3 linked regions of the Caenorhabditis elegans genome follow. The protein of the gene in region 3 interacts with the protein of the main gene of each other region in a pairwise test. Each region holds a gene or a part of one and is shown on either strand. Other genes may lie near its edges. The genes, in order: txbp-3, frm-1 and F35A5.8.

The links.
Region 1: the proteins of F35A5.8 (region 3) and txbp-3 interact in a two-hybrid assay, tested with the Caenorhabditis elegans proteins (one large-scale study listed by BioGRID).
Region 2: the proteins of F35A5.8 (region 3) and frm-1 interact in a two-hybrid assay, tested with the Caenorhabditis elegans proteins (one large-scale study listed by BioGRID).

Annotation. Positions count from the first base shown.
Region 1 is NC_003281.10:5,043,625-5,050,436, reverse strand, and holds txbp-3 (Tax1-binding protein 3 homolog), read left to right. Parts: upstream 1-3,275; 5' UTR 3,276-3,294; coding exon 3,295-3,549; intron 3,550-4,029; coding exon 4,030-4,149; 3' UTR 4,150-4,261; downstream 4,262-6,812. Other genes in the region: C45G9.15 (DUF851 domain-containing protein), read left to right, coding at 1-144, 192-266; vtip-1 (Vha Twelve Interacting Protein), read right to left, coding at 545-929, 1,014-1,151, 1,743-1,827, 1,876-1,975, 2,024-2,143, 2,191-2,313; C45G9.14 (uncharacterized protein), read right to left, coding at 4,784-4,949, 4,997-5,116, 5,195-5,340; nlp-43 (Neuropeptide-Like Protein), read right to left, coding at 5,983-6,106. UniProt on the Caenorhabditis elegans protein: May regulate a number of protein-protein interactions by competing for PDZ domain binding sites.
Region 2 is NC_003279.8:14,892,600-14,900,710, reverse strand, and holds the start of frm-1 (Moesin/ezrin/radixin homolog 1), read left to right. Parts: upstream 1-3,348; coding exon 3,349-3,474; intron 3,475-3,528; coding exon 3,529-3,679; intron 3,680-3,926; exon of another isoform or gene 3,927-4,148; intron 4,149-4,320; coding exon 4,321-4,718; intron 4,719-5,274; coding exon 5,275-5,525; intron 5,526-5,851; coding exon 5,852-6,018; intron 6,019-6,067; coding exon 6,068-6,135; intron 6,136-6,776; exon of another isoform or gene 6,777-6,881; intron 6,882-6,968; coding exon 6,969-8,111.
Region 3 is NC_003284.9:3,798,477-3,807,609, reverse strand, and holds F35A5.8 (SH3 domain-containing GRB2-like protein B1), read left to right. Parts: upstream 1-4,145; 5' UTR 4,146-4,273; intron 4,274-4,718; exon of another isoform or gene 4,719-4,830; intron 4,831-4,838; exon of another isoform or gene 4,839-4,840; 5' UTR 4,841-4,857; coding exon 4,858-4,920; intron 4,921-4,979; coding exon 4,980-5,121; intron 5,122-5,188; coding exon 5,189-5,323; intron 5,324-5,376; coding exon 5,377-5,510; intron 5,511-5,652; coding exon 5,653-5,745; intron 5,746-5,823; coding exon 5,824-5,862; intron 5,863-6,002; coding exon 6,003-6,092; intron 6,093-6,144; coding exon 6,145-6,245; intron 6,246-6,375; coding exon of another isoform or gene 6,376-6,424; exon of another isoform or gene 6,425-6,878; intron 6,879-6,918; coding exon 6,919-7,015; intron 7,016-7,114; coding exon 7,115-7,216; intron 7,217-7,285; coding exon 7,286-7,390; 3' UTR 7,391-7,565; downstream 7,566-9,133. Other genes in the region: F35A5.1 (Titin-like), read right to left, coding at 1-144; F35A5.2 (uncharacterized protein), read right to left, coding at 1,991-2,122, 2,169-2,233, 2,280-2,364, 2,412-2,465; abu-10 (Activated in Blocked Unfolded protein response), read right to left, coding at 7,968-8,243, 8,299-8,412, 8,457-8,546, 8,589-8,675, 8,721-8,897, 8,947-9,133.

The sequences.
Region 1 (6,812 bases), on a different chromosome or scaffold from region 3:
CTTGTATTTTCAAATACAATTCGATCGCTTGTTCATGCTCAGGAAATGGAAGGAAAACGAAATGAAAGTAAATCAGATGATGAGGGAAAGTCCGATAAGAGTTTGTCATTTGTCATTGAGAAGCAGGAAGAGTTTATTTATTCAGTAATAAGATTTACTGATTTGATATCTAATTATTTTCAATCATTCAGAGAGCAAATCCAATCGAGACGGCTAGAATGGCTCGTAGGAATCGTAGAAGTAAAGGATCGTCGTCGAAGAAGTGAAACTGAAGTCTTACTTTTCTTAAGTGAATATTTATTCGGAGGCAAGATAAAAGAATAAATGGTCAAATCACAGATTTTTTGTTGTTGAAACACAAAACAATTGAAAGCTATTTTGGAATGAAGTGAAGTGAACAACCCAAAGTTATACGACTAAAATTCTATTGACTGAAATTGAAACTATTTTTTTTAGATTTTTTAAAATCCGATAATTCGCATGATTTTTTTAAGTGAAGAAAGACTGAGAACAATATCTTAATGGGAATTTTAGACAAAAAAAATCAATTTTTCGCTTGCTCGTCTTCTTGTTTCTTCTTTTCTCTATCTGCTTTCCACGAGGATCCGTCCAATTTTATAGTTTCTAACCAATCATCACAAATTAATTGTTCATTTGGATCTTTAACCATTCCAGTCAATGCCATCAGAGCTTCTCCGTCTTTTACATCAAATCCTTCGCCCAAAAATGCATCGATTCGAGCACGAATTGCCACGAATTCCCCATTTTTCTTGAACTCTGAGAATCGTCCAGATTTGTCGTTTAGGATGAATCCATCTCCATATTTTTTGATGAATCTCGGGAAAAATATCTCTCCGGGCTCTTTTCCTGCTTTCGATGTGCTTCCTGTTTCAGTATTTGTTTCCAAATCGTAGAATACAAGTCGTTGTCTGAAAAAAAAAACAAAATGTTTTTATTTCGAATACAGATTCCGAAAAAACTATTAACACTTGTTAAAAATTACAAAAACTCACTTTGAGAACATATTCATTGGAAAATCGTTGATTGAAGCCACCAAAGTCTTGTCATCAAGTGCACAAATTCGTGAAAAAGCTTCTCCAGGCTTTGATTCAGCAACAACATCCCAACCGATTGGAGTGTCCAAGTGTGTTCTGAAATTATAGATGTAAAAATAAAATATAAAAAGTTGCTTGAAGGAAACATTTTTAATTTAAAGAAGGAGTATCGTCAAAGGGGAAATTGTTTTAAAATGTAGTATTTGTACTCAAACTTCCAATTATTGCAGAAGAAAAACGGAAAAATCCGTTAACATTCAGCATTTAGCCGTTGAAATCGACGAAAGTGGCTGAAAGTGGCTGAATTTGAATTTCGCGCGCAAATGAAAAGCAACCACGCAACTTTTAGGTCATATTCGTAAACAAAATATTGATTTAAATGTAATTTTTTCGAACTTTAATTCGCTTTTCTTTCTCAAAAAGTTCAAGAAAACTGGGAAGAAGAAATTGTATTGAGTATTTTTTCAAAGGACAATACCAGAACAAATAAAAATTCGAAAGATCGTCGTGGCCTAGGATTTCTCTAGTTAATTTTTGAAGATTTTTTCGACTTAAAATGCTGAATCTAAACGGATTTTTCCCGTTTTTGTTTTGTAATATTCTTAAGTTTGAGCACGAATACTACATTTTAAAACAATTTTCCCATTGACGATACTCCTTCTTTAAATGATTTATTTTAATTCTTACGTCATGATAAAATTGTTTCGATGTCCTGGTTCAGCTTGCTTCACAATATACATATCGCCACTATCAGTGATTGTCATGGAATTTACTAAAAAAAAATATATTTTAAAAAATGTTTTATACCAGAAAAACTTACATAATCCTTCGATAAACGACTCATGAACAACATCTCCATCAAGTGAAATTACTCTTAAAATTGTCGTTCGATCAGAGAATTCAGCTGATGTGTAGATTATCTGTAAATTTGAATAATTAATAACTTAAGTGAAAATAATTTATTGTACCCTGTCTTTGTACGAAATTACTTGTGGAAATGGGGCCATTTTCTTGAAGAATTTCTTGTCTTCGTGCAGAGTTCGGAGAGTTTTTCCGTTGAATTTATATAAACCGCCTTTTGAAGCTACCTGAAAAATGAATAATTTTTAATTGTTGTTGTTTAATTATAATATACCCATATATTGTTGTCTTGGTCGTAAACAACGTTATAAGGAACTCTTGCCCCTCTTGGCTCCAAATGAAGAAGCATTTCATCAAATCGTTGATAATCACTGGTGTCTGACGGTTCTTGGGTCATTTTTATGCTGAAAATTGAAAATTTATTAGATAATTTATCATTATATTTAGCAAAAGAAATGAGAGTCAACGATTAACTAAAAATTTAAGAGTTTTGCGCAAGAGAAGTGTCTAAAAATCAATAAAAAATTTCACCATACCCAGCTCGCTGCGAGACCTCAATCAATAATTTGAATGCACTCCTTTAAAACCACAGTAATCGGCGAAGTGAATTTGAATATTATTAGATTGAACAACATTTTCAAAGTGAATTCACATTTAAAATAAAGTGAAAATAAAGAAGATTTTGGAGTTAAACATGGTTTAAAAGTGGGAAAAATGTTTTAATTTGAACAAAAATGGTTTTTGAAAATAAATCGATTTCTCAAACATATATTGTGGAAATTGGAAAATCTACAGTACCTAGCATTAAAAAACTTCTTTTCCGCTACTGATTTTAGATTTTTAGATATTCTTTTTTCTTGACTATATTGTTTTACATTGAAATAATTCATTATTAATTATTATAATATCTTTAAAAATATGCCTGCAAATAGAAACATGCAAGACTGCAAGATTTGGAAACGTTAAATAAAAAATTGAGGGAAAAAGATTATTCAATACAAGTAAAACCAACTTTCCATGGCCGCAAAAAGCGATGTTTGGTCTTATTTTTTCAATTTCTCTTCCACGGCCACCAATTCAATTATTCTCTTATCGGCAACACTTGTACAAGGTCGCCATCTCAATGACAATCCGAACGGAATTGAGTAAAAATGTATGCAAATTCGGCCATGAGAGTAGGAAGATGAGATAGTGTAAGAAAAATGGAGACCAGAGGGGGTTGAAGACAATGAGTCACACCTCATGTTGTATGTGTGCGTTTCATCTTTGTCCGTGTTCCGACACATTTAAACATTAGTTTTTGAACAAAAAACCTCATTTTCTTTTCAATTTCACTTTTAAATACTTTCCAATTTTCAGATCAAAAAAAAATAATACAATGACAGCATATGGTCATATGCCAGGAGAAGCAATTGAATGTTTGTCAATTGCTGTTGAATTGCACAAACAAGAAGTTATTGATGCTCATGGACAAGTCACAATTCGAGTTGGATTTAAAATTGGTGGAGGAATTGATCAAGATCCAACAAAAGCGCCATTCAAATATCCGGATTCTGGAGTTTATATCACAAACGTCGAATCAGGATCGCCGGCGGATGTGGCTGGATTGAGAAAGCATGATAAGATTCTGCAGGTAATTATGAAATTTTTAAGTTTTCTTTTCCCAGAGACAAATGATCAAACTTTCTTGCCAACATATACATTGTTAATTAAGAGTACTGTAAACTTACTGCCGAATTTTCATCGATCTTGCATAGTTTTTCTCATGAGTTTTTGGAAATTTTTGTGTTGTTATATTTCAAATAAATAAATATACTTTCATCAAAAAACCATGCAAAATCGATGAAAATTCAGCAGAAATGAGAATTTGAAATTACAGTACTCTTCTTAGGCAATATTTTCTCATTCAACATAAATTTGCGTGAATTAAACTGAAGTGAATTAAACATTTGGCCAATTAAAAAATTTTTGGTAGACAAACTCAAGAACGTTCGAACATTAGCTTAACATAAGTTTCCAAAAAATTGAAAACTCCTCAAAATTTTTCTAGATGATATTGAGAACATCCTCTAACAAACGGACACCCCAACTAAATAATATTCTCTATTTTCAGGTCAATGGAGCAGATTTCACAATGATGACTCATGATCGAGCTGTGAAGTTTATCAAACAATCAAAAGTACTTCATATGCTTGTTGCAAGAGCCGATCTTCCTCCTGTCAGTCTTCATTAACTCAATCTCATTTGTTCCGTTCACATTCAAACTTGCCCTTTTCAATTATCTCTCAAACTCAATTCTGCGCATATATTTTGATATTTATCGGGTTCAAAAATAAAAAATTTTACTTTTTTGACGACACAATGCATCATTTGACAAGAAAAATTGGTCATTCGTGTTTGGAAAAATGAACTGAAAATTTCATAATTGCCTGTAAATTTTTATCATACAAAAATGAATTATTTCAATGTAAAAAATAAAGTAAAACAAAAGAAATTATAAATCTGAAATCTGTCGCAATAAATTTGTTAAATTAAAACATTTTTTCCACTTTTAAACTAGTTGGGATATTAAAATCTTTGTTGCTTTCACTTTATTTGAATTGTGTATACACTCTGAAAATGTTTTTAAATCTAAATAATGAATTTCAAATTTACTACAAGGATTACTGTAGTTTAAAAGGAACACACGTGATTTCACTTGATGGATTCTTGGAACAAATTCAATTGTGTAAACACAGAAAAAGTGATGTACTAACAAAATGTAGTATTATATGCAAATGAAACTTGTAGTACATACTAAAGTCTTCTCGAATCATCTCGAAAATAATAAAATAGTATTTTTTAAAACTTTTAAAAACTAGAAACATTCAATTTTTATCAGAACTCTGAAATTCAAAATTAATATTATCTTCATCATCGGATGAATCCATAGTTTTCCCTTCTTCTTCATATAATTTCAGCAAAGTTCTCTCTTTTTGTTTTCTTTCTTCCGTCACTTTTTCTAATTTTTCCATTAATTTCGTCATTTGAACTCTGCAAAATCTCGGTTTTTTCTGTTCCTAAAACTTTGAAAAACTAACTCTTCTCTCCTCGAAAAATTGCGATTTTCGTCAATTTCTTCCTGTTTTTCTGCAATCAATCGGTCCATTTCTACAATTTCATTTTGAAAGTCTTTGACTCTTGACTCGAAATTGGAATATCTAAAAAATACTCAATTATTACTTTTCCACCGAAAATACCAACTCAATTATTCTTGTTTTTCGAAAAAAAAAACTAACTTTCCAATAAAATTTTGAATTGTCTCCGCATGGCTTCGCACGTTTTCAGATTTTTCCAGCGCCTCCTCTAGTTGAGCTTGTTTCTCCGCAATTCGAGCATCTACTTCGGATAGGTAAAAATCAATTGCATTTTGGGATGAAGCCATTTTGATGTATACTGGATGTGAATGTGCTCATGGAGGAGATTTCTGGGTGCGCTCAATTGGAAAATCCCATGTTTGCTGGCCAGTTCCTGAAATTTTCTAGTACAACTACGAATTGCAGGGTGAAATGAAAATCTTTCCTTGTAAGAGTTTTTACAATCGTTTCATGTACTTTCCAACAGGAATATTAATTTAGAAGAAAAATTTTATAATAACTGAAAGTGGAGGTTGTAAAGTTAATCAAAGTGGAATAATGTACTGCGCAATTTAGAATTCTCGAGTGTGTTTGAAGACAATGAACATTTCATGTTCTTAACTCAAGTTTTTCACTAAAATCAAAATTTGACCGAGATATGCTTGCAAAGTTGATCAATAGATACTATACAGTATGTCGGAAGCATTGCTTCAAACAATCATCCAAAACACTCAAACTGAGTCCATTTTTATTGAGTCGTTCAAAATTCATGATTCAAAAAATTAAAAATGAAAGGAAATCGAGAAGAAGATGTCAGAGTTGTTGATCAGGAAAAAAACAAAAATAGGTAGAGATTGTGAGATTCAGAGACAGAAGTTGAAACATACACACACAGAGAAAAGAACAGATAATGCTACTGTCATTGTATTTTTAGAAAAATAATATTTGAGTTATTTCCCGGCCCATGCGTAAAACTGCTTCCTTTTTTCCATTGATGGTCCAGCTTCTTGGGCAATTGAGTCTTCAAAATAGTGAACTGGTGCCGATGATCGTTTTCCGGCCCATGCGTAAAATCTGGAAAAAATTAAATTAAAAGCTGGAAATTCGCTCGTTCAATTTGTGACTCTGTGAGTTGATGGCGGTCCCCCATCCCGATCACGGTTACCTTCTGATTTTTTTAGCAACAAAGGCGACTAAAGGGAGTACAGGGAAAATATGGGGCGCCCGTTGTTCGCCCCCATCGAGCGCCACTGTCCGTTATTCCCCCTCCATTTTATGGCCCTGGGACAATAATCATAAAAACTCTAATAAAAAAACTATACAACAATGTTTTTAACTTATTTCTGCAAGCTACCATCCTCAAATGTTTATCCAAAAGCTCCAGTCAAAAAATAGATATATACATAAGTCAACGTTACTTTCATTTGTGCACCTCTCTGTGCTCAATTTCTTTGTTCGTTTGCTTGATGCGACAAATTGGATCTATTTTTCATTTGGAATTAGTTTTTTTTTGAAAAACACTACAGTAACTCCCAACTTTCGCCAATTTTTGATCGTTGGTTTTAAGTGGTTTTCCAGGGTCGGAAAGTTTGGATTTTGAATTCTATTCTAGTTTTCAAACTGAATTTTAAATGAAAAGGAAGTGGACCTTTTTGTCTACCTTTTATGTTCGATTCGAGTAAACTGAAAACTTTTAGAAAAACAAAAAGATTGACATATTGTGCTGTCAATTTCTTGAAATGCTGAATTTATAAATGGGGAAAAAACAACAAAAAAGTTA
Region 2 (8,111 bases), on a different chromosome or scaffold from region 3:
GTACTCTCTATTGCAGCTTCCGGCCTCTACTGCCGTTGACGGTGTTGTTTTTGTTTGCACCCTCTCGCTTCTCGCTTCCATCGTACATACACATAAATACATACACTTTCCCTTTCATTTTCCCACCCATTTTTCCCCATTTTCCATGATACGCTGCGAATCATTTTTTCGATTCGTTTTTTGTCGAAATATTTGGTTAGCATTTAGTACTGATTTCCAGAAATTGTTCCATTTTTCATTATTTTGCTGAAATTCCTGAATGATTCATCCGTGTTTTTTCTTGATGTTTCAAATAGAAAACAATCATCAAACCCCCCATTAAAATCCATCCATTTGCACCGCCTATCTCCTCCTCCTATCACACACAGTTTTCATTTTATTCTATCATTCCGCAACCATTCGTGTTGGTTTCCATTCTGATTCCTTCTTTAACTAAACAGGATATTCTCTGAAATTCGAGAATTGTCCCCTGATTCATTTTGGCAAGAATCTCCACAATGGAGAGTACGGAAACCTTAGGAAGCGGTGAGTAGTTTATGTAAATATGCATCTTAGAAATTGATGGGTGGTCTAGAACTAGTTTGTGACTGGTTCTTGGGAAAAACGGGAACGGAGTAGACTAACTTTTCACGCCTTTTTAGTGAAACTTGAGAAGACATCTAGGCAAACAGTGGTAAGTCCCGGCCTGGCGCGGTTCTGATAGTGAGTCCACATTTCTGATAACATTTACTTATCGCAGTAAAACTTATATCCGACACTAATTAGAGTACACGTGGAACGTTGTAAGTGGTGTTTCAATGACATGAAGCTGTCTGAGTTAATATCAATATACACTTGAAATACTTTAGTTGTGCTTGACTTTGGTCTCTCCCTAGTCGAGAATTTTCGCAACTAGTCAAAAATGAAATCGTCTATCGCAACATGTATAGTTGATAAATATTAACACAAATAACCAAAGATTAAGTTTCGAATGTTGTGACTCATGCTTTCTCCTTTATTTTCCTCTCCACTACTGAATTTCTACACATTTTTCGAACAAAAAAGAACGTTCACTAATCCTTTTGGCCTTCTCTTCCTGCATCTCTCTTTCTCCCTTACTCCACTATTCTCTCGTTTCGTCGCTAGCAAAAATTACCCTCAAACTCCGCCCAAATATTGGAAACTACCAGTCATTCTGTCCGCTTTTTTCCATCATTGTCACTGTTTTCCGTGTGTGTCGTTGAGCGCTGGTGCCCTTGGTCGATAGATTGGATGAATGAAGGAGTGAGGGCGCCAACAAATGTCTGCGCATCTGGAAGGTCTTGCACTATTTCTCAATTTTTATGCTCTTTGTGAGGGACGGACATACGGTGACCAAGGGCATAGTGTCAGAACCAAGAGGAACCATCTGTTTGGAGATGTTTTGAAATTTTGTTTTGGCAATGCTGGGCATTTTTCACTTCTGGTAACGGTTTTGCATTGGGTAGTTTGAAGTTCGGAGCAGTGGTTGGTGGCAATTACAACTGGGCCGTTCAAATTTTCGATAATTCGATAATTTCCTCAATTTTTGAGATTTGGCAGTTGTTATCTATTGCCAAATATTTTTAATTTCCAAAGGTCAAACAAGGAGGGGCGATGTTGACTGTCTCTAAAGCTAGTCATAACTAGGTCTGTGAAACAGCGGAAGGAAACTTTCCAAAAAATTAATTGCCTCCAATAATTCTCTCATCGGCAACATTGTCAATCTACAAGCTGGTTCAACAATAAAAACTGTTTGTTCTCTCTCTTCTTTGCTATTGCGAAAAATTGTCTCATTGCAACACCTCTCTCGCCTTCATCTTTTCTGCCTCCGAATTCCCACTACTGTGATTGACTGAGATGAAAAGAATAGAATGAAACAGTGTAATAAACTAAACGTTTTTGTTTTTTTTTTCTGCTGTTTTGTGGCCAACACAACGCCTGTTGGTTTCGTCTTCTTCATCCTGATGGCGGTGGCGAGAATAAGAGAGGAGAGCAACAAATAGCACAGAAATAGCAACAGTTGTGTGTGCACCTCTGCTATCAATTGAAGCTCTCCGTAAGCATTATTTTTTGCTGTTTTGATATATTGGAATTCTTTTGAAACTATGTGAACAATTTTTTATTGTGATATTTGCCAATAATGTGTATTTTGGGTCTTGTAGCGACCAACATGACTGACAATGAGAAAATTACTCTATCGAAAACTTCTAATTAAAAATACTAATCGTGATTTCACTTTATCAAGTTCACAAGCTTTTTAGAAACGTGTAATAAACGCCTCAAGAATGTATTCGGTTGGGTCTCGCCACGATAAAAAATTGTGGTAGCAATTTTCTATTTATTCGGGATTTCGTGAGCAATTTTTGTAATCATCACTTTAATTTTTTCTCGATGTTTTCCTATTTTTTCCTGAACTAAAAAATACGAATTACTTATTGAAAAGCTAACGAAAATCAAGGAAAATCGTTAAAAACTAATAAATTCCTGAAAAAAATAAAAATTTCCACCATAAACGTTTTCGTCGCGGCGAGACCCACTCGAACATAACTATGCGCCTTTAAGTTTACTGTAGACAAATTTTGTCCGTTTTTTCGATGTTTTCCTCTATTTTTTTCTATTTTCCTACCATTTATTGTATTTTAATTAAAAAGTAATTAAAAAGCTAAAAAATTAACTTATTCCCTGCAAACTTTCGACACGAAATCTTCATTTCTCAAAAATTAGTGTTATTCGCGCTGCGAATCCACATTTTCCACTTTTTCACGTTCTCTGGCATTTATAAATTTGTTTTTGTTTTTCAGAAGATAAAAACGTAAAAATTCACGTTATAAATTCCCATTAAAATCGTCAAAGCCAAAATTTTGAATTCGTATTTATTTCTAGTAAAAAAAAAGTATTCTTCAACTTTGAATGTAAATTTAGTTAACTCTTCCACTGTTTTTCTCCAATACTCTTTCTTTTTTCATTTCCACCTTCAAATGATCCTAATATTTCATGTTTTCTCACCACAATCTGCGGGTACCGGAGAAAAGGTGTAATTTTTCTTTATTGTCCTTCTCTACTATGCCTCCCAGAATTTATTGCGTTTTTTATGCCGGGCATTGGCTACTTTTTCTCCCAACAACACCAATTCATCCCTTCTGTCTTTTTTTTTCGCAGAAAAACAGAACAAAATGTGGCATTTCGAATAGAGCGCGTTTGCATTACTCCCCCCCCTCCTCCCTGTCGGCCGGGCAATTCAAATTTTAACACTTTCTTTTGCTCTATAAACTTTTAAAACTTCTATTTTCAATGAAAGTTGCAGTTTTTTTTCTAATTTTTATTAATTTCCTCCACATTTCAGAGCAAATGGGTACCGATAGAGATCCCGGAGACCAGAAACACCCAACGACTAGCCAGCAGCCACGAGATTCGAAAATGCAGTTGGCAAAAGTTCTTCTTCCCGACGGAGTTCAAAAGGAGTTTGAGGTTAATGTAAGTTTTTGAAGAATTTCACCGGAAAAACTGCTAAATTCTAAATTTTTACAGAAAAACTCGGAAGGAGAAGCACTTTTCCGACAAGTGACACGAGATCTATCGATTGAGGAACGCGAATACTTCTCGCTGTGCTTCTACGACAAAGATGAGGGAACACGACATTGGCTATATAATGATAAGAATATTGCGAAACAGATTAAAGGTAAAAATGAGAAAAAAAAGAAAATTTTGGTTAAAAATGTGGATTTTCTTCACAAAAAGCTAATTTCCCCCGCTTTTTCAAAAAAAAAAAACTGCCTTGAAATTTTTGGAAAGCTGTTTCAAGTAAATAAAAATATTTCTCTTATTCGGAAAAGAAATTGAATCGATTTCATGTCCAAAGTTGTATTAATTTTCCTTTTTTTTTGTAAATTCCCTGATGAATTACAAGAATCTAGGAATATTATCCTTAAAAATATAATAAAAAACTCTAACCCGCGGCCACGTGTCGATTTACGCAGCTCGTGTATTCCTCGAAGAAAAATAGTTTTTCTACATTTTTCGCAAAGTTTTCTCAAATCTTCTGTGTATTTCAAAGAAAATCGAAAAATCTGATAATTTTAATTTTGAAATCGAGTCTTTTTTAAAAGTTTACTGATTTTTTATAGAGCGAAAGCGGAAAATATTGAAAGTTGGAATTTTTGTTTCAAAAAAAAAAATTAGTCTGAAAAACATCGAAATCTCGAACAATTTTCAACCAAAAACTGCGTAAATCAACACATGGCCGTGTAAGAGGTTTCCCGCGGCCACCTATTTCATTTTCTTTTTTAAATCAATTTTTCAACCAACTGTCAAATTTTGCAGGTCTTCCTTGGGAATTCTCGTTCGAGGTCAAATTCTACCCGACCACACCTACAACGATCGTCGACGATCACGCTCGCTACTACGTCTTCCTTCAACTCAGACGTGATCTCCTCACCGGACGTCTTCCAGCTACTGCCGACACACATTCTCTTCTCGGATCGTTTGTCGCTCAAATCGAGTTCGGTGATGCTCCAGCAGAGATGACGGATGCCTACGAGCAGTTCATTGTGGCGTCCAAGCTGGTGCCATCAGCACAAGCGAATCCGGAAACATACAAGAAGATTGTCGATTTGCACAGAGAGATGCGCGGACAGACGCCTTCTGAAGCTGAAAATCAATTTTTGGATCACTGCAAGCACCTGGCTCTCTACGGAATCCACCTTTTCAAGGCAATCTCCGTATGTTTTTCGACAAAAAAAGGTTCCTGCTCGAGTACTCCACTAGGAAAATATTTTTTCTTAAATTAACATCTAAACTTCTATCATTTTCTTCTTTTAGTGCTCATTCTTCAAGTCCTTAATTTTGAAGAAATATTTTTAGTGGTTTATGAAAAAAATAGTAGTATTTACTTTTGTCTAAAATAATTAATTTGTTAAGTATTCTCTTTCAATTTATCAGCTTGGTGATTTTTAAGCTAATTTTGAAATTTCCGCCAATTTCTTGAGGGTGATCAAATTTTATTCACTGAAAAGTGTTTGGCAAATTGAAAAACGGTGTTTTAACTTAAAAATAAAAAGAAAATCAGGAAAACTGGTAAATTTAGCCAGTCAACGCATTGGATGTTTGAATCGAATTATTATTAAATTTGAATGAAAATTTGTCATATTCGGTCATTAGGGTTTTCTGTCACTTAAAGCACAAAATGTTTTGACTCTGTTCCACCTGTAAAGGAGTAAAAACTATTCGAAAATGCCCAAATTAGCTTTGTTTTTATAATTATAAAATATCTTTCAGGATAAGGACAAGAAGCCTGTGGACGTTGGAATCGGTGCCGCCGGAATAAACATTTACCAAGACGAGCAAAAGACGCATTCCTTCAGCTGGCAGAATATTATCAAAATCGGATATCGTCGTACTTACTTCTCGATAAAGCTCAAGGCAGGGACTGTCGAGAAGAATGAGAAGACATTGTACTTCAAGTTGCCAAACCATGTCGCCGCAAAGAGGACTTGGAAGTGTGCAGTCGAACATCACACTTTCTTTAGGTAATTTTTGAGAATAACTTATCTCAAAAACTGAATTTCTAAAAGAGAAGTTTAAAAAATACGTGAAGATTGCCTAAAATTATCTAAAAATTTCGGATTTTTCATCTTGCAGGAGTCGAAAAATAATTTTTGTTCTAATTTTCGAATTCCTGCTCGATGGATCAATTTTTTTTCAACTGTTTAACTGAAATTGATTTTTGTTTTGTTGAATTGTCGAACATGCTTTTCCAAAATTACGATTAAATAATTATCTCTGTCGTTTAAATTTAATTTCGACGGGTCTGAAAAAATTATTTCTTAAAATTAAATAAAATCTTTAATTTCAGACTGATCCAACCTGAAGACAAGACACATAAATCATTCTTCAACTTTGGCTCCCAGCGGTTCCGCTATCAAGGACGCACTCAATTCCAGACAAAGATTGCCTCGCAGATGTTTGATAAACCATCGACAGTGGACAGAGCGCCATCTGCAATGTCTCAACCAATAGCAAGTGAGTTTTTGATTACAATAGTTGAAATACATTATTAATGAATTTACAGCAGCCGAGAATCAGAAACTTCAAACACTCAATCTCACGGATTCGGAATTGGAGCAGCGCCAATTTGAGGTTAGTTTAATTGGTTTCCAGTGTGCTTTTCTATGTTTTTGTTCTAATATTATTTTGCATGAAACGCTTTTTAGAGCGCTTTTTTGTGTTTTCTATCGCTCACATCACAATAACTGCTTTTCAAATTTTGGAGAAAAACCACCGAAAACCCCTCAAGCACAAACACAAAATTCACATGTTTCTTCTTTCTACTCAAAAATTTTCAAACTTTTCCGCTAAAACGTCAACTTTTTTCTTCATAGTTCTTCCCCTTATTCTTCTAAAGAACTGTACAATTTTCAATATATAGCAATGTCCCCTCTTCTATTTCTGCGTGAACTTTTCTCTCATTTTGTTGTAATTCTGAAAATTCGAGAGTTTTCAGTTTTAAATATATGCATACCTATACAGTTTCCAGCTAAATGACACTACCACAGTTCATTATGATTGTAACGGCGTGGAGAGGGGGTTAAGATAGCTCCCCTCGTTCAATTATGTGCCCGATGGTGTTTTCTCTCCAAAATTCAATTGTTTCTTTCTCTATCTCTAACCCCTCTCTCTCTCCGCACTCCCGTTAGAGAGTTTCCTGCTAATCGCCATCGTCATCGTCATAAGGTCTTCTGGAGACCTCGTTGTAGTAACATAGTATCGGAGAAGTCAACATCATCGTCATCGTGTGTGTATATTTGCTCTCTTCTGTTTTGAGGCTATTCGGACATCCAGGTTCTTCCTGTCTTGATCGTCTAGCTTTTTTGTAGTTTGTAGTTTAGTTGTGCACCACAAAACCTCGGTTTAGTTTGCGTCTGGTAGTGGCTATTTGTGTGTATCGATCTCTGACCTTCCTATATTTTCAGAGATACCGACGCGCTTTGACACCGAAGTCCTACACATCATCGAGACAAGACGATGACGCGGTATCAACTGCCACATTTGCCAAGTATTCTAGGCCTTCGACTCTTCTTGTTGTTTCCACTTCTGGTCATCACCAGCAAAGTCCTCACGAGTTGTCGTATTCACCACGCGGCGATGATTCCTCTAACTACTCGTCGGCAGCCTACTATATGTCTGAAAGATCGTCGTTGAGAACTCCGTCATCCGCCTATTATCCTCCATCCGAATATACGAGTCCAACTAGTCCTGTTTATTTTGAAGGACAACATCATGGCGAGTATCATGTTCAGATGAGGCAAACAGCTTCAACTTCAGCTACTGGACCATCGAACTCGGGTGCCCGCAGAAATCTGTTTGGTCGGGCGTCGGACGCAAGAAGTTCTCAAGCGTCTAGGGATAGTGTTCGTCTAGTTTCTTTCCATGAACCTGTAGACCCAAATGAGCCGATTCCAAATACTTATCCGTACAGTGAGCTCCCGCAGATTCCGATTGAAAGAATTGTGCATGTTTATCACGAAGGCCACTATGATCGACTGAGTCCTCGACGCCAACAACGTCCAGAACTGCCTTACGGTTTCGGAAACTATACCCCTCGAAATGGAGTTAGTCATGTTGACAACTTGCAGCCTGATGGAGAAATGGATCAACAACCGATTAGATTCTATGTCGATGTTAGACATTCTGGAGCTAGTCGGCGGAATCTTGCAAAGCGATTGAGTCATCCAGGAAAGGAGGACATCAAGGAACAAATAGATCCAAAGGATTACTACTTCTCAGCTTCTTTGGCTAGTGACCCAATTCATCGAACTGAGTTAAGCAGAGAAGTTCAGCCAGCCAATATTCAGCAGTATACACGCCGGTATCATCATGGGGATTCGATTCACAAACCTGATACTCCCCAATATCGTTTAATTACGCATGTTCATCCACTAGCTGTAACAAATAGAGATGGACGAGATGGTCAGTCTTCATCGAATTTGAATGCAACGATTTCTCAGCGGGAACAAGTTGTGTCAACAAAAGTTCGTCGAGAATCTCCTGATGCTGATAGAAGAGTTCGTCTGTCGGCTAGTGTTGATCGCAGTGGAAATCTTACTGATACTACT
Region 3 (9,133 bases):
TTTCAAACTAGGCTTTTTCTCTAATTTTGATGGCGCTGGTGTTTCTTCGTCCACTTCCATTTCTTCTTCTTCATCGACACTCTCCCATGGTGGCTTCCATTTCTTTGCCGGATTTTTGATTGGGGTCGGTGGAGCACGGCTCATTGTGTTCTGTAAAAAATATCACTAATGACAAGTGCTCATGTACTAGAGATAACTATTGCGAGAAGCCGCCGAGTAAAAACGAGAGATAGAGAGAACTTGAGATTATGAGAATTTAAGATTCTAAGAGAAGCAGCAAGAGAAACAACTGCGGTCTGAGTTAGTAAAAACAATTGATTGGAAAGAAATCAACAGAGTATAATGTGAAAAATCACATTTTCAAGTTTTAAATACTAATTGGCATTACATTGTTAACAATCAAGACTGAAAATTTGATGAATATTTCTCTGAAAAATTTGGTGAACTCGTTGTTGTTTTTTGCGTCAATGAAATAAAGATTTGAAAACTTTTTTTTTCAAAATTTTAACCGGAAACAAAACAAGTTTTTGTCGAAGATCGGTTGAGTCTTAATAAACTATTTGAAAATAAATTATGCAAAATTTATTAATTCTGCAATTTCTTGAAAATGCACACAAAGTAAAATGTGTTACTAATAAGAAAGATTTAAAAAATTATTCGAAAAAAAATCATTCTAAACACTCCAAAAAAAAATAACAATTGTTCCTTTGAAACAGTTGATTTTATTAACAAAAAAAAGTTCGAACAAAACAAGCGCTTCTGGGTCTATAACAGCCTTCGCATGAGATCATAAGGGCGCCCACACGAATGCATTGAGCATCAGGCTTCTAGTTTACACCGTGCCGTCTTCACTCTTGAGAGAAAGAAATGAGGGAAAACATCGAACAACAGAAACGTTTTCTCTCCGCCATTGATTTATCTGACAACATAACGTGGAATAACAAAGAAATTCAGGTTACTTTCGAAAAATTATTCAAGTTTTGTTGTCATTAATTTCAATTATAACGATATATTTTTATGAAAGTATTTACAATAAATACACGATAAAAATTGGTTTCAAAGACAACAAGCCACACAGGAAGCACGACGAAGATGATAGAAAATAACATGAAGTACTCGGTTCCAAGTTCATTTTCCAGATGCTCTAGCTGCTGTCTCGAGTATACAATCTCCAACGTGATAACTCTGAAACAGTAGAGTATTTATTTAAGTTTAAAATTGTGAAATATTAACTACAAAAATTGTATTGTTTTTTTGAGCAAACAAATTACCAAGGAGCATAAAATCGGATAATAAGAAGTTTTGTGAAGCATTACCTGACTGTTGCGAAGTACCTGAAAACAAAAATGCCAGATCAAAAAAATATACAGTAAACTAAAAAAAAGGGTCAGAAAGAAAGGGAGGCTATTGATTAATGAGAAAATGTGAGTTGATGTGGCAGAATTGAATAAATATTCCCACACATAAATGGGATACGAACCAAAGATTGAAGGTCAACAATCAACAAATAAAAAAATTATAATACGTCACAGCTCAAAGTAAATACGAATATGAACTAACCTGAAACGGGTTCCTTTTTTTTCCTTCAGATTTATTTGTCTCCTGATAAAGGGTTATCAATTAAAAGCTACTAAAGCCACTATACTCAGCACTATATACTCAGCTACTAAAGCCACTATACTATACTGTTTTTGAAAGATATTCAATTATTTTTAATCATTATAAGTGTATGTGAACAAAATTTCAATCTCAAGAGCAACCAGAGAGGTTTTCTAAAGGTCACTCAAGCGGCAGACTTTAAATAATGCTCGAACCTCAAGAATCCCAACCTTAAAATAATACTTTTCTTGAAATTATAATAACAGTTGATTATTTATTCCACAAAACTCATATTAATACACTGGATACACACACAGGTATCAACAAAAAACATACGAAAATACGCGGGATTATATAAAAAGCGAGATATTTGTTCGTCCAGATTCCAAGTTCAGTTGCCGGATGCTTCAATGGTTGTAGCGTATTTGCTGGCTTCATCGAGACGCTTCTGGAAGTCGGCATCGGAGAACGAACGGAACACCGACATAGATTCGCAATCCGAACTGGCGAAGGTCTTGACGTCCTGAAAAAAAATCGCTTAAAAAATGATCTTTGAAAATTTTACTTACTCCAATCTGGGATCCAGCTGAATCAAAGCAATCAAATTGATAACCGGAGCAGGAGGAAGTCACATCTGAACAAAATTGATTTAGATACCTTAAACTAATATAAAAATTTACCATTATCATTGTACTCTCTGTTGTAGGCGAAGCAGAATGGTGGATTGTTGTACTTGCGGTTTTTCTTGATAACCAGAGTCAGACCCTAAAACATAGACAAGTTCCTGTAAAAGTTGCACATTTCAATAATACCTGTATCATGGAAACGGCAAGAATAAGGAAGAGAGCAAGCGAGACGGCGTTCATCGTTTTGACACAACTGGCTGAATGATGCTATCCCGACGCGTTTTCGACGACTTTCCCACACAAGCTGTTCAAACCATTTTCGTTTTTATATTTCGTGGCACATGCAAGTTAACACGTATTTGAACATCTGAAGCAACCGAGTTCGTTGGCTGCAAAAATTGACTCATTAGATCAAACATCGGCGCTTGTAAAAAATCGTGTTTACCAATTTGGGACGGAAATGGAGAATTGCTGATGGAAAAGTTTCCCAATTAGTGTTTCTAATGTTTTTTTTAGATTTCTAAGTACTGTAATCGACCGAGAAGCTAAAAACACAGCGGGTGTTATCGCTTTTCTTTATTGGTAATGAATGCAAGTTATGTAAATTCGTGTGAGAAATAAATTAAAATGCTATTTTTGGATTAGAAATTTCGACTGGAAAGTTAATAACAAAAGCAAAATTAAACAGGAATATACGGTATTATAAAATGTCCATTTTAACCTGAAATGTAAAAATTTAAGGGACACTATAAAAAAAACCGTGTTTTTTTGTGGTGTTCATAATAGGGGTTGACTGATTGGATATCTGACTAACATTTTTAAAAAATTTTACGATGAAACTATGAGGTTTAGAAAAAAAGCTTTCTAAGCGACTTCAACCTCCCGCAACGTCTTGGAATCTTACGATATTTGTTGCTACTATACTTCAAGAACAAAGATAATAATCAAAACAAAACAAAATTAGCTTACAATTAAACTCTTTTTTTTCCATTGAACATGATGTCTATTATTTGCTCTCCCAACAACACTACCAATTGCAAAATTGAATGTTTTGCAGTGTCAAATTTTAATTTTGAACAGTGGTGTGTTTTGAAATGAATAGTTTGTTGTTCCTTGTTTTATTCACGCAACACTTTCTCTTTTTGCTCGTCGTATTTTTTAATCAAAGCGACGTTATTTTTAGTCTCAAGTTTGTGTCTGTGCTCATCTTATTATTTCTTACCAATTTGAATGAATAATGCATAAAACGTTTTTTGTTGTCGTTGAGGATTTAATTTTCTTTAATAAATTTCAAAAAAGTAATGCAATCATGTTTAACAAAATTTTAAATACACATCTTTCTAAAAAGGTTATCATAATTACAGCTCACCAAGTGTATTAATGTATGTAGTATAATTTATTACGTTTCACACTTGCAAAAAACTTTTTAACACATCACCATTAGACTTTTCTCTGAAAAATATATAACAAATTCTATATCAGTAATCCATTTAGACGTCTAGTCTTATTTCCATTTCCGAATAAAATCACCATTAATCTTTCGGGTAATGTTATTTTAAAAAAACTTATATTTTTGGGCTATTTGTTTTACTAAAAAAATACTGTTATGTTTTTGCCCTACCGAAAAAAACCTTTTTTAAGACCATTTTTACACTAATTTTTCAGCAGTATTTCAAAAAGAAGAAGACAATCAAATCGGATATTCTTATTCTCCAAAACTAGACAAATGTTCGTTGTTTTTTCTCTATTTTGAAAACGAAAAGTGTGTTACTTTTCTTGTGTCTCATCCGTATGTCTTTCTTTTTGTGTACTCATTGCAATTCAGAGACAAGACCCACACATTGGGTGTGTCAATGCAGTGGCTGCTGACGCGTTTCTCGTGCGTGCGCTTCTTTTGTCTTCACTTTATTCAATTACTCACCACGAGCTCATTGTTATTGTTTATTGTGTTTAGAAAATACGATTTCCCATAAGAGTCGTTATATTTTCATTCATTATTCTTCTTCTTATTATTATTATTATTAGAAAATATATTTTAAGCTTTTTTTGTAAGTTTTTCAGAAAAATACTATTGGGTTGCTTAAAAATAACAGTTAAAATGTTTACATCCACTGCATGACTCCAAAAATCAATGTGATACTTTATCAAGCTCCTATTCAAAGCACTCAAACTCAATAATAAAAAATATGTGCACTTTTTTTAAAAATATGATTGCTCGTAACAAACTTCTCTTCAAAAGTGTAACATGCCATCATTTTACCAGAAAAAAAAAACGAAATCCAAAAAAATTGGAGGACGGATGTTGAGAAAGATGAACGACCTCTTGCGTTTTGTTGCACGCATCTTTCCCCCCATTTTCGCTTCTTTTTCAAAAATTCTCTCCTTTCCCACTTGTTCCGTCATTTTTCGTTTCCTTTCCCTTCACGACTCGCGCAGTCTCGCATCGATTTTCCGCTAGGGGCCCTCCCCTCCTCACCGCCATCTTCTTTACCAGCAGCCCCGTTTTCCAGTAATTTCGTCCGTCGTAGTCGGGGCACCCCTCACAGATCCGTTCGAACAGCTTCCATTCTTTTGTTTTTTCTCGCACTTTTGTGAATAATTTTGATAAACTTCAGATTGTTGAAAACTCAGTATGGATTTTAACTTCAAAAAGATAGCCAGTGATGCTGGAGGATTCTTTAGCAGAGCTAAGCAGGTTGGTCATTTTTTTACGAATTCCTTCGAAATCCCATACATTTAAAATTCAATTTCCAGCTCACCGAAGAAACATTCCTGAAAGCAGAGCGCACCGAACTGGACTCCCACTTTGAGAACCTTCTACAGCGAGCCGACAAGACAGAAGATCATACTCGCCGTCTCCTCTCTGCAATTGAGGGTTATTTGCAGCCAAATCCCAGTTAGTATTCACGAAAAAGATATTATGTTTTGCAAAAAGACCTGAGAAATGAACTTATCTATTGCAGCCGTTCGCATGGAAGAAGTATTCTATGAAAAATTGGAATTGAAAAAGGATGGTGCTATTCGGCAAAATAATCTCGAGCAGTTGTCAACAGCGATGACCGAAGCTGGAGAGCAGTTCGGAGAGACCACTCCATATGGTTAGTTATTTAATTTGTTTCCTCATAAGACATATAATACTCAATAATTTCAGGATCTGCACTCCTCAAAGTGGCTCAAACGGAAAACCGACTTGGGCAAGCGGAACGGGAATTGTGTGGACAAGCGGCCACAAATACTTTGCTCCCTATTAGAAGATTCTTGGAAGGCGACATGAAAACAATTCAGGTGAGAGACTCCTCTTTTCCAAGCTGCACTATTCATGAGCTCTTGCTAAAAAAATTTAGTAAATGCATTTCAAATTATTCTTGCCCTCAGGCCAGCTGCGCCATAAATATATTTCCGCTTTCAATAAAAATATCTAATTCAGAAAGAAAGAAAAGTGCTGAACAGCAAGCGTCTCGATTTGGATGCATGTAAAAGCCGACTCAAGAAAGCAAAAACTGTAGATCTTCAGACAGTGGTGAGTGATTTTTTTCTTAATTTGTGAAAAATTAATTTTCTAAAAATAAAAATCTAAAAAAGAAAGTAACTGTTTCAGACGAATAGTAAAACCTCTGGAGGGTTTACAATTGAGCAGGTTTGTTTCAGAAATGTTGTAACACTGTTGGTTTTCATTATTGTCTGGTTATTCCTCCCGTTTCTATGTACTTTATAAACTTTTAGTTACATATCTAAACATTATATTTTGAAACTTTTGAAACGTTTCACAAGTTTCAGGCAGAGGCGGACGTGCGTGTTGCTCAAGCAGAGTTTGACAAGCAATCAGAGATTACCAAATTGTTGCTAGAAGGAATTCAAACCGCACACGTTAGTTTTTTAAATGGGATTTTTCCAATTTAAAATGTATAAAAATTTTCAGAACAATCAGTTGAAGTGTCTTCGTGATTTTGTCGAGGCACAAATGTCTTTCTATGCTCAGTCTCATCAACTCATGGCCGATTTGCAGCGGGAATTGAGCGGGTAAGTCTCTCTTTCAAAATTAGGCTCATTAGTTTTCATGTCGCATGCGTCTCCCGCTAGCAATTCATTTGGTAGCCACTGCTTTTTTTATTTCGTTGTAGTGAATGTACGTGTCATGCAAATATTTCAGTTCTCTCGCCGATTCACCGATGTACTACGGAAACCGACACGACGAGTGACTCCCGAACTTTGATTTTATGTTTGCCACTCGTGATTGTGATCTTGACTCCCTATTTATTTCAAATTTAATCGATTTTGATTATATATTATTTTTTCTCTCTCCTCTTTCTCTTTCTTTTTACTTAACATTACTTCCTTCTGAGTAATCCAGTGTCATTCAAATTCGCCAAGAAATTCAATATTAGCTCAAGTTTTCGATATTCTTAAATTTTCAATGTATTCTGTATGTATTATATTGTAATGTATTTCATATTTTAACAGCTCCCGGTCATTTCCACCAATCGATAAGCATAATTAGTATGTTTAATTTTTTTCTTCTTACTCTCAATTCTCCCCCCAACCGCCGTTGATCGGCTTCTTCTAGTCACAGTTGCTGTGTGAATGTCTTAGTATGTGTGACACAACGACGAAACGCGATTTGAACTCAAATAAATGTTTCTCTATTCTGCCAAACTTTTTTCATTGTCCCCAGATTTAAGGAAATTGCTTTCAGCACCATGTCATTTCGCGGAAGCTCGGCAATACTGGTGAACAATAGTGGCGACCCGCCAAACGGAAGGACTATGGCGGCGGCAATAGCGGCGGCCAAGGTTAGTTGGGGAAGAACTTCGTGGAAAGCGTTGTTTCCGTTCCAGTGATTTTCAATTATTTCCCATCACGAACATCTCTTCAAATTACTGATTTTCCAGCCAAGTGGCCTACTGCCGGATGACTTGGGAACCAAGCAAGCCAAAGTGATCATGGACTACGATGCAGTGCTGCCACAAGAGATCAGCGTCACCCAGAATGATGTGAGTCTTGAGAGGAGGACCCCTATTGAAACCAAATATTGTGTGAAATTACGTCTGCTCTTGTTGCAGATTCTCATCGTGTATCGCCTTCCTGGAATGGATGCGGAATATGTGATGGCTGAAAAAGGAGGAAAACGCGGAAAATTGCCTGTCAGCTATATTGAGCTGCTCTAGAAACGCTGCATTCATTAATTTATTGTCTTAGTACTTTGTTCATGTGCCAAAAATGTTTTAGTAAGGTGTCTTATTTATTGTGGAAGATCTCAATTGAAATGTGTCTATTTATTTGACTCCTCAAATGCGCTTATTATTGTATAGGTTATTTAGATTTAAAATAAATGGGAAATTTAAAGATCAAAAATTCGTTAACAATATTGAACACAATATAAAAAGTTTAGTTTTGAAGAAAACTCTCAAATCTCTTCTACGATTGCTGTTTTAGATAATGATAGAACCAACCCTTTGTGAAAATCTTCTGGTTTTCAAACTTCAAATAGAGTTTCCTAAAAGAAAATTGCATTTTTCTCAAATCTTTTTCAGTGATTTTGTTGTAATTTAGACGAAAATTGGTAATTTGAACATCATAGAAATGATTCTTAATCATTTTTTCATTTATATCTTCATTGCATATACTCATTGTGTAAAAGGAAATAATATAAAACTACTTTATGTAATGGCAATAATATTACCGAAATGTACAAATAGTTTGCGTGAAGTCGAAAAAGAAAGACATGGTCAGAAATGAGTTCGTTTAGGCGATCGATCGCTTTGCCTTGCGGTTGGTGTATCTGTATCTAAGACAGCAGGTCTGCTCGGCGCACTTGACGTATCCGCGTTGGCATACGCATTGGTTAGCATCGCAGGAAGTAGTAGCTGACGAATGTTGGGATTGTTGGTTGGTGTACGAAGCGGTGCACGATGACTGGCAAGCTGGCTGGCAAGCTGGGACGCACTGATTGATTGGTTGCGCTTGTTGAACTTGGACTTGGAAGGTTGGCTGAGCTTGTTGGGCGCAATCACAGGATGGCTGGAAGTTTAGATATCCATAGTTAATTTACTGGTCAAAAAGCAATAGTCTTTACCTGAGCCTGTTGGCAAGCGCATGGGTTTTGCTGAACAACTGGGGCACAATCACAAGCTGGCTGAGCTTGTTGGCAGCACGGGTTCTGTTGAACTGGGGCACAGTCGCAAGTTGACTGTAATTCACAAACTTAATGGAAAACTCTGGAGTGTGATTTACCTGAGCCTGTTGTTGGCAGCATGGGTTCTGCTGGACTGGAGCACAATCACAGGCTGGTTGCTGTTGGACTGGGGCACAGTCGCAGGCTGGCTGAAATTACCGGACTAAAAAAAATTGTTCAAAATGCCATACCTGAGCTTGTTGGCAGCATGGGTTCTGTTGAACTGGAGCGCAATCGCAAGATGGTTGCTGTTGGACTGGAGCGCAATCACAGGCTGGCTGAAACTTCAAAAGTTCATCCAACATTTACCAAATATATTGTACCTGAGCTTGTTGGCAACATGGGTTCTGCTGAACTGGAGCACAATCGCAAGCTGGCTGTTGAGCTTGTTGCTGACGGATCTCGATTTGGATGCAGGTCACACATGATGGGTTTTGTTGGCAGTCACAAGCTGGTTGTTGAGCAACTGGAGCACAATCACAGGCTGGTTGTTGTTGTGGCTGCAAAGATGGGTTACTTTTATTCGTCGCTCTTACATTAACAGCCTACCTGGCAGTCACAGGCTGGTTGCTGTTGAACTGGAGCGCAATCGCAGGATGGTTGCTGTTGCTGGCAGGCGCATGGATCTTGTTGAACTGGAGCACAGTTACAAGCCGGCTGCTGCTGTTGTGGCTGGCAAGCACATGGATCTTGCTGAACTGGAGCACAGTTGCACGCAGGCTGCTGCTGCTGTGGC